Linked DNA regions of Oreochromis niloticus. The protein of the gene in region 2 interacts with the protein of the main gene of each other region in a biochemical or structural test. Links are inferred from orthologs where the notes say so. Each region holds a gene or a part of one and is shown on either strand. Other genes may lie near its edges.

What was found.
Region 1: of the proteins of malt1 (region 2) and relb, one has a biochemical effect on the other in vitro, tested with the Homo sapiens proteins (2 studies listed by BioGRID). The link is inferred for Oreochromis niloticus from reciprocal best matches to the Homo sapiens genes MALT1 and RELB.

Annotation. Positions count from the first base shown.
Region 1 is NC_031979.2:23,753,233-23,760,542, forward strand, and holds the start of relb (transcription factor RelB), read left to right. Parts: upstream 1-4,299; 5' UTR 4,300-5,074; coding exon 5,075-5,108; intron 5,109-5,201; coding exon 5,202-5,276; intron 5,277-6,023; coding exon 6,024-6,205; intron 6,206-7,310.
Region 2 is NC_031977.2:28,480,752-28,487,679, reverse strand, and holds the start of malt1 (mucosa-associated lymphoid tissue lymphoma translocation protein 1), read right to left. Parts: upstream 3,005-6,928; 5' UTR 2,824-3,004; coding exon 2,675-2,823; intron 1,738-2,674; coding exon 1,571-1,737; intron 1,226-1,570; coding exon 1,104-1,225; intron 1-1,103. UniProt on the Homo sapiens protein: Protease that enhances BCL10-induced activation: acts via formation of CBM complexes that channel adaptive and innate immune signaling downstream of CARD domain-containing proteins (CARD9, CARD11 and CARD14) to activate NF-kappa-B and MAP kinase p38 pathways which stimulate expression of genes encoding pro-inflammatory cytokines and chemokines.

The DNA.
Region 1 (7,310 bases), on a different chromosome or scaffold from region 2:
TAACCAGTTTCTGCTTCCCCCTCTATAACAGGCCGGCCAAAATTAACTCCTTGACTCTGCGTTTTGTTGTATTTTTAAAGAAGACAAGGAGTCTCTGGTTTGTCTTGATGCATGCTCAGTCATCCAGGTAAGCAAATCGCAGAAGTTTGATTCTTTTCATCTGGACGTTTTCAGTGGGAGAAAAGTTGCGTCACTCATCAAAGTGGCTTCTTCAGTCTCAGCTGACTGCAGGTTTCCCCAATCTTATAAATAGTACATTTGCATAATAACTGAAACCAGCCGACTGAATGAACAATGGGCTGGGATGTCAGTTTTTTGATCATTAGTATGCAAATTGTGATGTTCATTGCTCAACAAACACTGATCAAAGACCACTGATCAATGGCCATGAGTACCATTCACAGAGAGTTGGGGAATGGCTCCATTGTAAGATGATTCATAGATGTTTTTTCCCTTTTCACGTAAATGGCCTCCTTGACTCCACGCTCAAACCAGCGTTCCTCCCTGTCCAGGATGTGTACATCCTCATCATTGAAAGAGTGTCCCTGGCCTGTAGGTGTAAATAGACTGCAGAGTCCTGGCCTGACGAGGTGGCTCTTCTGTGTTGTGCCATCCGTTTCACCAGAGGTTGTTTGGTTTCACCGATGTATAAATCCTGGCAATCCTCCTGGCACTTAACAGCGTACACTATATTACTTGTGTCGGGGGACCCGATCCTTGGGGTGGAACAATTTTTGGCACAGCATGTTTTGGGGTTTGAAAGCCACAGAGACGCTGTGTTTAGAAAAATGCGTCTCAACTGTTCCGATACTCCTGACACATACGGGATCACTACAGGTTTTCGCTTAGGCAGCAGTTGTCCTTCTCTCCTGGATGAACTGGAGCTTTCTTTAGGTGACTTCCCAGCTTTGACAAATGTCCAGCTAGGATAACCACATTTACTCAGGGCCTTCTTGATGTGATGTTCTTCTGCTTCCCTGGCTGCTGTGTCTATGGGGATGGTGTTCGTTCTATGTTGTGGCGTCCTGATGACACCCAGTTTGTGCACCACTGGATGCATATTAATGATCAAGGACCTGACCTCACAACTCACTGTTCATTCAGTGGGCTAGTTTCAGTTATTGTGCAAATGTACTGTTTATAAGGTTGGGGAAACTTGCAGTCAGCAGGGGTCATTAGCTCCCCGGTCAGTGTTTTGGAAAGCCGTAGATGCAGAAGTAGTTATGCCAGAGTTTGTGCGCTACTGCCTTAGCAGACTGATTAGGGCTGATTAGAAAGGCCTGAGCCATCTTTGGAAAGTGGTTTATGACCACAAACACATCCACTGATTTGTTTGCTGAATCCTCCCAAAATACTTTAGCGCCGTTCCTTGTTGGCCCTGGTGACCTGCTTCATCATGGGCACCTTTCAGTACAGCAGGATGCACGGTTGGCGGAACAACATACAGGTAGGTCTTAGAGACTCGATACAGTAAACTATTTCTTACGGTCAACTTGTCCCAAGCCTTTAGGAGTCTCCTTGTATCGGTCGCTTCTTTGGCCCACTCTCTCCTTGATGGTCTCTGCCCCCTTTCCACATAGAGGATCACTCTGCACAGCACATCATCATGTGTCTCACTAGGTCATCTTGTAAAAAGGATTCAGAGTCAGACCAGTTCGGTGTAAGCACAGTTTGAGAGAGGCAGGAGAAGAGCATGTGGCCACACTCTTGACTTGTGTTTACTATGGCCCTGGAGGACAGCTCCCACCTCAGCCTATGCAACAGCTGTGTTTATCAGATTTTTATTAGTCAGTTCTTCAGCATTCAGGGTCTTACTGTGGTCCTCTCCTAAATCTCCCTCTTCCCTCTGGTGATTAACCAGATGCATTATAAGGTTGCTGCCCAGAATAAGGTCCTCACTCTGCCCTGCAACCACCATCATTGGCAGAACAACTTTACACCCATACACCTCAATGGTAATGTCCCACACACCTGTTGGAACTGTCCTTGAACCACCACAACCAATCAGGACGACATCAGTGGGTTGGAAGGTCGAGGTCTCCAACGCTACAGGACGTAAAAATTGGGGCATTACATTGATGCTGAGGATGCAGGCCATGGAGCCACCGTCAAGCATCGCTTTAGCTGACAGTTCGCCACCTAGGGTGACGTTTTCATTGAGCAGTTCATCATTCTGTTTTAGTCTGTGTGTGTTCTGAAATATGGGTCATATTGGGACTCACCTACTGTCGCTAAAAACTAAAAGGCAGTGGCTGCACTAAGCTGAGAGGCACACTTCTGATCTTTGCCATGCTCCAGCAACTTCTCGTACACATCAGCAACTGTCCACCGCTGCAAGGACTTGCACTTGAAAATAGGAGACAGTTCTGAGTCCGGGGAGTGACGGTTAAACATAGCAGTCAGCTCTTTTGTCAGATATGCAAAGGACTTAATTTGTCTTTTAAGGCAGTCTTCTGTCACCTCCATAGCGCTGTTCAACCTGAGCCAGTAATCAACAGGCTTTTCACCTAAGTTGGATAATGTTGCATAAAAATCTGCTAAAGGCATGCTTGAACCGGCAGTGTTAATGAAGTGCTGCTTTTAGATCTCAAAAATGGGCTCTGGGCCCCCCTCATGACATACAGATGGCTTACTACGTATGCCCACCCTGATTATCTCTCATACCCTCCCTGCAAGTTTACTTGGCACTTCATCAGCTTGTTCTGCTACTGGTATCCCTTTTCTTTTTAAAAAGGCCATCATCATTTTCCCCATTCCCAAACACTGCATGTGTCACAGCCATCCCCTCTAAAACACACAGGTTCTTTGACATCAGATTTTGCAACCACATTCAGTACTGAGGGCTCTGAGAGCAAAGACCCAACAACAGTGTTTCCCAGTCCATAGCACAAGCAAAACTAAAAGAAACTGTCCCTCTCCCCCCTACCAAAAGTGGGAAAATCTGTCATGCTTTAGCAGATTTTTGTTGTTGTTTTGATTATCGAAAACAGTACATTTAAAGGGGGAAAGAAAATAGTTGACTCTGAGTTCAAAATGTGAAAGAAAACATCTCAAATGGAATATACAGCAAAACCTCAAACACACACTACCTCCCAAAAAATACAAGAGCACAGCTAAATAGACCTTAATAAAAATGCATAGCAAAGGACCACTACATTGAATCACTGCAGAGTAGTAAACAGCTCTTTTGTTGAAGATAAAACGTGTTTATCCCCCCCCCCCCTTCTTTTTCTCCTTCCCAAAGTGTAGGAGCCATTTTTGGGTTAATACCTTATGTTGCCGCTAGAGGTCACCTTTTTTAGTTTCTGTATGGTAGGTTTATGTCAACAGTTTGTGACCGCTGCGCTGTTATGTTAAAATGATATTGGAATAAAGACCAAAAGGACAAGATAAGTACTGCTGGAGTTATTGGACTGTTTAATTAATTCATGCATACCAGTGACATCACGTCACCCCCGTTAACAAACACCTCTGAGGCTTCAAGCATAGGCGTAGCCTCTACACAAAGAGAAAGTACACAATCCCACCTCAATGTCCGAAAGAAAACAGAAAATGGCGGGACTAAGAGAAACCAGTCTCCCGCGGTTTTCCGCACAGTCCACCTTCCAGGAAATAGACAGGCCATTGTATATTTATTTCCTCTCATGTAGCTTTAACAAACTGGCAGTGATTACATACTTACATACTTATTACATATACTTTTTACAGTCATTGTGCACCAGGAGGGAGGGCGCTGTTTCCCCATTGCACTGACATTTGAGGCAAGTGGAAACACTGTTAGGAACACACCAGTGACAGGTGTAGGTGATGCTTGGTGTCATGAAACACTGATGGTCTACTTTTGACTCAAGTAAAGACATGTGGCCTCCAGTAAATGCTGTGTGCCCATAAAGTTTTAGCTTTTTAAAATAAATATATATATATATATATATATATATATATATATATATATATGTATATATATATATTTATTAAATTTTGTGGATATTCTTCTGTTGCCTTCAAAAGGAGGACTGAGGACTCGCAGATCATCCTCTGGTTGCAGAGCTCAGGCTGAAGCGTGTCGGTCATGCCTGCAGCTAGGTTGCAGCTGGCTTGCTTAATTTTTGTTTTTTAATCTGCTCCCTGCTGAGTCACTGCTTCCCCTAAAAGGCCCCGCTTTCGATTTCCATTTCCTTTAAATCGTCTGTCTTCTGGGCGACCAGCAGGTGTCGCTGCTGCGCTTCGTAATTTTTCAGCAGTTTGTCAAGAGTTTTTAAGTTGAGACGAGAAGAGGCGCCGTTTCTAATGGGAGGGGTTTTTTGTTTTTGTCTTTTTGAAATTGTAACTTTTACTTTGCACTTATGAAATTCCCACTTCTCCCTGATTGGAGGAACCGGGAGAAGCGTGATAAAGACATGATGTAACCAGGAGAAATGCCTCAGAGGGCGTGTGGCTGAGAAAGAGCTGGCTTTTTGACTTCTTTGTGCTAAAAATAGGTGCATGAGCTCTGGGATAGAGGCTCATTTGAATAGTTAAAAACTGATTTGCATATGCACTGAAGCCGATATGAAAACAAGACGAGCCGCCGATACGTGCGATCAGTTTACATACATAATAAGCGGGGAAATCGGCTTTTAAGGGTAAAGGACCTATTCTGGCCTCATTATGATGCATTATGCAAATCAATAAAGCGGCAAGGGTTTGATTAAAAGCTCGGTTCGCGCTGTCGCGGGGGGGGTTTTCCCGTCTGTGAGGTGACGTTACGCGCAGAGGGGGATTTCCACGCGGTCCAGCAGCCAATCAGCGCGAAGCTTGTCCGAAACACAAAAGCGGAGATGACTTCGTGTAAGATATTTCGACACATGGCTTCGAGACGGTTTGACACTTTCCCCGGGATCAGACAGAAGCTGTGAGCCGCTGTGCAGTCTAACAGGTGGTTTAAGGAGCTGTTTCAGAGTTCAGGACGAAGGTTTGGGCCGAGACGGAAAAAGACCCAGAGTCATCCGGTTTGGAGACGACTCAAGGAAGGATTCAAGGACACGACGGTGGAGTTTAAGGTCCTAAAGGTGGTCTTAAAGACTGGACGCATGCCATGATAGACATGGACATGGTCAACGGTACCTCTGGTGGGTGGTTGTCTTTTGTAAACCTGTTGAATCTTTGCGTGTGTTTGTGCGTAAAAGCGCTGACATCATCCTGAGGCATGTGATTTTTCACAGCAGAGGAGACAACACCCCTTCCCGGGATTGACCCGCAGGACGACAATTGTTCGAGCCTCGACTCTCTAGATTTCGGTGAGTGGTGGGTCTTTTTTGTTTTGTTTTATTTTGTTTTGTTTTGGCTCTGCGTGCATGTGCCGGAAGCAGGGAGGAATTACGGTGACCTGAGATGACCTCTGGCAGGAGGCGTAAACCATCATCAGAGTTCCTGCTTGTTTAATCTTAGGTTGTCTTATTTCCGATGTCAGAAAGGGAGAACTCAACATTTGGGACATTAAATTAAACATGAAAAAAGTCACAACAGCTGATTTCTCTTATTTAACATTGAAAACTGTGCTGCAGATGCTAGCTTTGTTTAATGCTTCATGCTTTCTGACAAAGTGTCAGACATGACAGACCACAACCACTGGTCCCCAAAGACAGGTATATTTACCTGCAGGTAACCACTGCTCTAGATTCACTTTCACTGGTTAAACTGAGGCTGACTACAGGGCAGGAGGCCTGTTTTTTTATTGGTGCAGTGCTGAAACAACGTGCCACAGATTCATGCACCAGTGACAAAAACAAAACAGAGGAAACGGTTCATGTGAGGTGGTAACCACTCAGATTCTGACACACTGTGTCTTGTGACACGTTGCCACGTCTTAAAATAGATTGCAGTAATATACTACTAGGTTTGGAAGATGTTAATGGAAGTGTTTCTGCTTTCTAATCCAAAAACATAAAGAAACAGAGTAGCTGCTGCCCTAAACCAGTGTCAGATTTTTACAACATTTGCACTTTCACTTTGGATTCACCATCAGTTTGTATTCATTCACACAGACCTGATTCAAGAATATATCGCAGAAAGTGAGCAGGTAGCACCCACCCCATCTGGACTACCTGGACCACCTCCTCCACCTACTGGCCTCCCCTGCCCCACAAACCAAACCCCACCAAACCCCATCCACAAACCAACGCAGATATCCAAGCCGGTGCTGGTTGCAAGAGGCACCTTGTCTAAGGTGGGTGTTTTGCTTTTGGGGTTTTTTTTGTTTTTTTTAGGTGGTGTCACGCAGGGTGTTGATTTTTCTGGTTTCCTGCTCTTTTTGCAGTTTCGTACGTTACCCAGAAAGACTGCTGGCAACACCCAAGGGTGCCAAGCAGAGAGGTGTTTGTATCAGCTGTGGGCTGTGAAAGTTGCCAGTCTGGGGTGAATAGGGGCATACTTTTTACAGATCCTGGCAAAATTTGTGCTCATTACTTCAATACAGGGTCTATTTAACTAGATCAAGTCATAATTAATATACCTGATACTTAATTTGTATAAAAACCAGAGAAATAAATGTCAGTACATGCACCTATTTTGTAAATATTCAATCACTTTGGCTGATATGACTGTATAACAGGTAGGAAACTGGAGTCTAGGCTGTCTGGAGAAAGGTTATGACTAATAAACAATGATAACAATAATGATGGTATTCTTATTTTTAGCCTTTTCTTATCTTAGCTGGGCAACATAAACATTAAAACAGTTAATGGATTCAGCTAAAACTTAAAACATTTTATTTATGAGAAGAAACTGTTAAAAATGTATCTGCTTGTGGCTCCTCTGAATGGTTTTTTTTTTTAGGTTTTCTTCTTATCATTTGTTTGTGCAAAGCACTCACACAGATGGGCAGGTTGTTGTGCTCTTCCCTCGGTTTATTATTAGCAACAGTAGTTTTATTTCCCATATTGTCTTTGTGCTATTATTGAAAGGCGGTTGATATAAAACACGTTCAGAGGAAGCGTCTGTTCCTCCTCGGGGGTGGCTGCAGCTCTCATAATGAGGCTGTTGTGAGGATTGAATGTTGGTGGTATGAAGTGCTGCATGATTCATGTGCAGCCTGCAGACGGTTGGCTTTTTTGCTGTGTGGCACAGTGCAGCCGTTAGGCAACTTGGCAGGTCCGGCTTCTACCAGAAAGCACGTGGTTTACAGGCAGCGGGAAGCTCAGAAAGGCTGTAATCTGATGAGGCACTGTAGTGGCCGCACAGATGGGTAATAATGAAGGGTGCTGGAAGTTTAGCCTTCTCTTAGTGAATGAGCTGCACAGGTTATGTTGCTGGGTTTGAAGAGGTTTTGCAGC
Region 2 (6,928 bases):
AATAATTAAAAACACAAAAAACAACACTAACTCTAATTAAATTTAAACATTAACTACACAACGCAAAACTAAACTGAAATGAGAAAAAAACCACTCTGTAAACTGAGTGAAAATAAACTAAAACAAAAACTCATTAGAAAAGATCAAAGCTATGGGTAGAAACTCAGATATGAACTAGTAATAATACGACAGCATCTGAATGCGCAGTCTTTTTCTATGATCGAGCACCCACGTCACACTTCCGAAAAAAGTTACATCTAGCAAGTCAGAACGAGTAACACTTATGTATCCTTTCAGCATGGCGTCACAAGACTGAACGCATGCTGACGCGGACACATGCAGACATTTGCAACTGTGCACTTTTATGAATTGCTCAGCTCACTAAAAAACATCACTGTGCTATAGGAAGAGATTCAGTTAAGTTTCTTAACCACTTATTTAGGATCACCCATTAACTACGATGAACCAACAGTGCCATTTACTGCACCGATGATATGGTAATCATGTGTTCTCACTATTGGAAATACTCTGTTTGTTTTATGGGAAAGTCCTGACTGAGAAGAGAATGCAACAGCAGGACTCAGTAGTGATGAATTTACCGGATCATGCAGGTGGACTTTGTACTAGGAAGTTGTCGGTTTAAATACCATTTAATGTCTGATCAGACCATGTTGGACATTTTTTTGTTTGTTTGTTTGCTTTTTGCTTTGCTTTGCTTTGTTGGACATTTTTGATCTCACATGCATTTCAGTTGTGTAATTTTTAGTAAAGTTAGTAAAGTTATGGCTGCAGTGAATGTGTAAAAAACGCTAAAGAGGTTTTAACGCAAGAACTTTAATTTAAAGTCAGAAAAAAATCAGCCCATTGTTCCTTCAGTGGGCTGGTTTCAGTCATTATGCAAATGTACTGTTTATAAGGTTTGGGGAAACCTGCAGTCAGCTGAGACTGAAGAAGTCACTTGGATGAGTGACGAAACGTTTCTCCCACAAAACGCTACGTCCAGATGAACAGATTCAACTTTTGGAGATTTACTTTCCTGGATGATTGAGAATGCATCAAGACAAAAAAAAATCAGTGTGTGTGAGTGTGTCAGAGGAACTCACCTCTTCCTTAGATTTGAACCACTGGTACTGTACTGGAGACTTGCCCACAGCGTGGCAGCTGAGCCGCAGATTGTGGCCACATATAATGGATACGGACTGGGGCTGAATGAGGATCTGGAGGGCTGCACATGTACAGGATATTTACTGTGAATTTACACTGAGTTTAGATGGACTGTATACAGCAGAACTTTGTGGTGCTTCTCTTTAAGGTTTAACTTTAATTGCCAAGCTAGCAATGGTACAGATGAGTGGTAATAGCATAATAAAACATTCCCTCTTGAAACCTACATTATATGAACCCTGATTACTGCTGCACTGACTTAAAACTGCACTGACAATGACCTATAAGTTTCATCCAAACAGCACAATGAGCTGTGAGCTTCAGATGAGAAATAAATAGAATGCAGAAAGTGAAGATCAACCTGCATGATTGACAACATAGCGGCATCAATGTGGTTTTACTCTACCTGGCGGTTTCAGGCACTGCAGAGCCTCTGAGTTGCCTAAAGTTTGAAGGTAGTCCATCAGATGGCCCGTGGTGCAGCCTCGCTCTCCCATCAGCCTCAGCAGCATGAGACTCGGGCTTCCCTCCAGCTCCAGCACCTTCAGAGAGCACATCTCCATGTCATCCGAGCTGGAAAGGATGTAGGTGACTGTCAGCATTTCATATTTTAAATCATATTACAGTAAAACTCATCTTTACCGTTTTCACACACGAAAACTCAGGTCATGAGAAACTGTTAGACAAAGATAAGGGAATAAATTTACACAAGTTTAAAAGAAAAACAAATGAATGCTAATCTTTACACCATCTGCACCGCTTAGTGCACAATCAGTGAAACACTTTATCTAGTGACTTTATTAGTGTCATACTCTATTTACCTGAACTCTTTCTTTTGTGCAATTTTACACTTGTCTAAACTTATTAAGTTTGTACTTATTTGATTGAGCTACATTGTTTTTTAAGTTTTGGCTGCTGTTTTGGTATAAATAATGCATATTTGATCTTATGAGCAGACTGCACTGTACCGGGAATATATGTACTCAAACACACGGTGTAATAGTGATATTAGGCAGGTGTGATATCATATGTTACAGCCGTACAGTAACAGCTAGGATTAAAAAAAAATCAGAGGCAAACATTTGTCATCACCATTATTTGTTAATGAAACTGCATATAAATAATGATTGGACCCTACATTTTTGATTGATAGTTTCATTAACTAGCATTAACCTGGAAGATGCTGTAATGAAAAACAAATAGTTGTCCAATTTAATCTCTCAAAGGGGGTCTCTTGATTTATTAACTTGGAGTTACATATTTATCTATGCCAGAAAATATACAGGTTAATTGTGCATTACTGTATTACATACTCTATACCTTTATTTTTTAATATAAAGACACAACATAAAATTCACAATAACCAATAAACTGAACAGTGTAACTATAATGAAAGTTAATCGCGTTAGTCCCCATTAGCTTTAATAAATAAACCGGTGGTTGAGAGTATGCATGCAATGATTTCTGGTCATTTACTAAATACTAGTACTAATAGCAATTTTTAACCCACCTGACTTTAAACCGTCTATCATTGCCAACAATCTCTCCAAGTTTTCGCCATCCTTTAGTGCTGGATTTGTCCAGCACCTCACACAGCCTCTTCACAACCGGCTCCTTCAACGAGTTGACCTTCGTGGACCGTTCCAAAGAGTCCGACATGACAGTTCCTCAACCAAAGCTCACCATCAACGTGTTTCTATCGCACGCAAAAGCAAAGTTATGGCACGAAAAAAAAATGTCTACTTCCTGAAAGAAATGATAAAAATGACTGACACGCCTACAGCGTCGTCTTGGTTTTTCCCCGTGGTGCAGCTCAGTTGTGGTTTCCTTCTGCCAAAGACCACTTATGCGTAAAGATGAATCTCTGCATGTAGGCTTGTGAGGCGAGAGGCGAAAAGAAACAACCCCAACTCTGGCCTGTTTTCGGAGTTTACCTCCTTTTATTAATTCCACGCAATTAAGATAAACCAAGTAACTTACTCAAAAATCTACCTGTGTGATATCTCATTTTCTATTCGTAATTTTGTTTGGCGTTAATCGAAAGAGGATACCCTACTAGCTAGCTCTGTGCAACTGCCAAAGAGAGTGTAGCTGCTGTCTACTCGCCATTTGACAATGAATGAACGATTAACTGAGCCCGCAATCAACACCATTATTTGGTATTTGTTCAGTGGATTTTAATACGTCAGAGGTTTCTTTAATGTAAACGCTGCTAAAACTAGCTAGTATATACCAAATAACCCGTATTTATTAAGGTTAATCTATATATTCTTTTCTTTTCACATGCAACATCCATCCTTAAACGAGTGCCCAGGCATAGAATCACAAACCAAGTGGCACAGAAAGTTGAGGCGAGGCGACTCATCTCGCTCAATTTGCACTCTTTGGCTGTACTCAGCCGCTCAGGTGGGAGCCGGTGACCTCCTCATAGTGGCGGAGCTAGAAAGTTTTCTATAGGTTATTGGTTGGCCCAGAAAATGAACAGGTTTTTTTAAGGATCAATCCTGTTTTCATTTATGTAGGTATAACTTCCTGGAAAGATACCTTGAGGACTCAAACAGTTTTTACCCAGCACTGACATTGTCAAGTCAAAACTGTTTGCAATATAATGTACACAAAACTTTTATTTCATCTACATGTCACAAAAAAATTGATTCTGTTAATCTAGACGTAATGTTTTCAGTGGGGGAAACATTCACTCATCCAAGTAACCATTTAAGTCTCAGCTGACTGCAGGGTTCCCCCACCTTATAAACTAAACTGACTAACTCTAACCCGCAGTCAGCACTGGGTTTGTGGGTTGACCAAAGGAGTGGCTTGACACCCCTTGTCTCCTTACAGAATCTCAGAGTTTTTCTTCCACATATTCATATGGAGACTGGCTCTCTGTAAATCCTGTTTTGTAATGCTGGCAACTCCACTTTCTAGGTGAAAAGGTTGTCTTAAGTAATGCCATGACTAAGTAGGATAATTTTCCCTGTTTGTAATCAGGGTCACTCTTTTTTTCTGCTTTTACATGCTTTTTTTGTCCTTGCTGCTCTTTCCCTAAGTTTTTCAGAGCAGACCATATATAATGGCTTTGTTTAAAGGCACTTTTTGTAATTGCCCCCTGCAAAATGTAAGAAAACAATTCACCACAAGGTGGCACTGTTTTACCACTAGAAGCGTATCTTTTCAGGCGTGTGCTGCTGTTCAGTCAGCCCAGTCCCATAATAAAACACGAAACCTAACTAAACCAAGCTGTCTAAACTTAAGCATGAAAGGATGTTTTTCATTAATAATATTTTTTAAAGTGATGATGCATGAAAAAATTTGAGATATACAATAGATTCGGTATATAGGAGAATGGATGAATGAAAAGTAGTGTTCAAATATAATACTGGGAAATTCATGTTGAGGAACACACAAAAGAAAAAAGTTAATGTACAGAAACACAAACTAATAAAATGATAGTTGTGACTATATTTCACAAACTGCAATGAGACTGCATGGTGCTGTTAGTGTACTCCTACCGCCAGTCCCAAACCTGGACTTATTTCCTCACATACTTTTGATATTTTTAGTTATTTTTTGATATCTTTAAACTTGTCACAGTCCTGGTTCGGTGACCCAGTGTTTTGTATTATTATAATTCTTTGATTTCATCACGGTTTATCATTACTAGTCTTTTGGTCTATGGTTCTGTATTTCTAGCTCTCTAGTTCTTCTTCGTTTTCTGATTTCTAGTTCTTGGGTTTTGTTCCTGTGCCCCTCACATTTAGTGTAGGTTTAGTTCTGACTTCACGTTTATTTTCTCATTCCCCAGTCAGTCGTGTCTCAAGTCCATGCCTCTGTGCCTGTCGTGTGTTTCCTGTTTTATTTTGATAGTCCCTGTCCTGTGTGCAGTGTGTCTGGTTTAGCTTCCCCTTGTCTCGTTAGGTCTGGATTTGCAAATGCCATCTGGAACCATGATGGTAATAACAACATAAACTCACCTTTATTTAACGTCCCCAAACAAACAGGTTCTTTTTATTGTTTATGGCTATATAAGTAAGTAACGTGTTTCATATAAAATGTGAACATGAATTAAACAGAAACTAAATGTGTGTCACTGTTAACTGAACCACCGGGCCAGATGGGCTAAGCACTGCCTGGATAGACAGGCGTGTGGAAAACTACTGGAGAGCTTCTCTGCTGAACGCAAATTTTTGTTGCTGTGGAAGTTATCCTGCAAACATGTAATGCTTCGCCCAGCCTTCGGGCAAATTACAAGTAGTCACACTTGAAACCTGTAATTTTACCACATTTGTTTTAAACAATCAGCCCTTTTTAATAAAGCATTTTATTCCTATTGAGCAATCATGTGAGAAGATTTCTCCTATCTTAAAATCAGTCTGAGTAATTTCCAGCCACACTTACCAGTTTCAAATAAACACAGCCAAAGAGTTGACTGAGAGAGTCCAAATGTAACAGTAGAGAAAATGCTGAACACTGAATCATTGTGGATATAATTAGGCTTTTTTTGGCCAGCTATTAACTGTGATTCTTAATGACTCATCTAAAATCAAATGCCTAAAACTGTATCACATGACAAATACTACAACCCCACTTCCAAAAGAGTTGGGACGCTGTATTCAGTGTAATTAAAAACAGATTACAATGATTTATTTATTTTATTTGCAGTAGAACAGAAAACATATAAAATGTTTAAGCTGAGAAAATGCACTATTTAAAGCAATATGCTAACTCATTTTGAATTTGATGGCAGCAACATTTCTCCCAAAAAATTGGTGCAGAGCCATGTTTACCACTGCGTAGCATCACCTCGTCTTTTTACAGCAGCCCATAAATGTCTGAGACCAGCTGCTGGACTGTGGGAGAAGAATGTTGTCCCATTCTCGTCTGTTACAAGAGTCTAGCTGCTCTTTCATGATGCACTGAATGTTTTCATTGGTGAAAGGCTTGGACTGCTAGCAGGTCAGTTCAACACCCAGACATAGATGCAGTTCGACAGGCTGAAATACCCACGCCCTTCCCTGAAAAATACATAGTCTGGATGGGAGTATATGATGCTTTGAGCGTTGATGGTGCATTTCTAAATGTTTCCAGTTCCATAGGCACTAATGCACCCTCATGCCATCAGAGATCATCTGGATCATGTTCACCTACAGCTCCTTTCTTACATGACAGAGTTTTAACTGGTATTTGTGGATGTACAGTGAAGTGTGTTCACAGACAGTGATTTGTGGAAGTGATCCTGAACCCATGCCGTGATGACCAAAACTTGCAGACAACCAGTATTGATATTCAGTCTTATTTCTTGCGCAAAGGGATTTCAGAATCCCTTGATGATTATGTACTGTAGATGATGGGATATTCAAAGTCTTTCCAATTTTACGTTGACGAACATTATTCTGAAATTATTCCACAATTTGTGGACAGTTTTTTGTAAAATGGTGTCCCCTCTGCCCATCTTTACTTTGGAAGCTCTGTCTGTGCTTTTTTTTGATGCCCATGCATGTTACTCACCTGTTGCCAATTAACCTAATTAGTTGCAGATGTTCCTCCCACTGTTTTCTTTCTAGAATCAATTACTTTTCTAGTATTTTCCCCCATCTGAACATTTTTTAAATGTGTTAGTGCTATTATGATGCTATTAATGGAAGGAGGCTTAAAGGAGCTTATATTTTCATGAAAAAATTGAGTTTAATTTTTCACTTTAAATGATTTATATTTGAATTGGGATTTGATTGGGATTTTTTTAGGCCAATTAATTAAAGTAAAT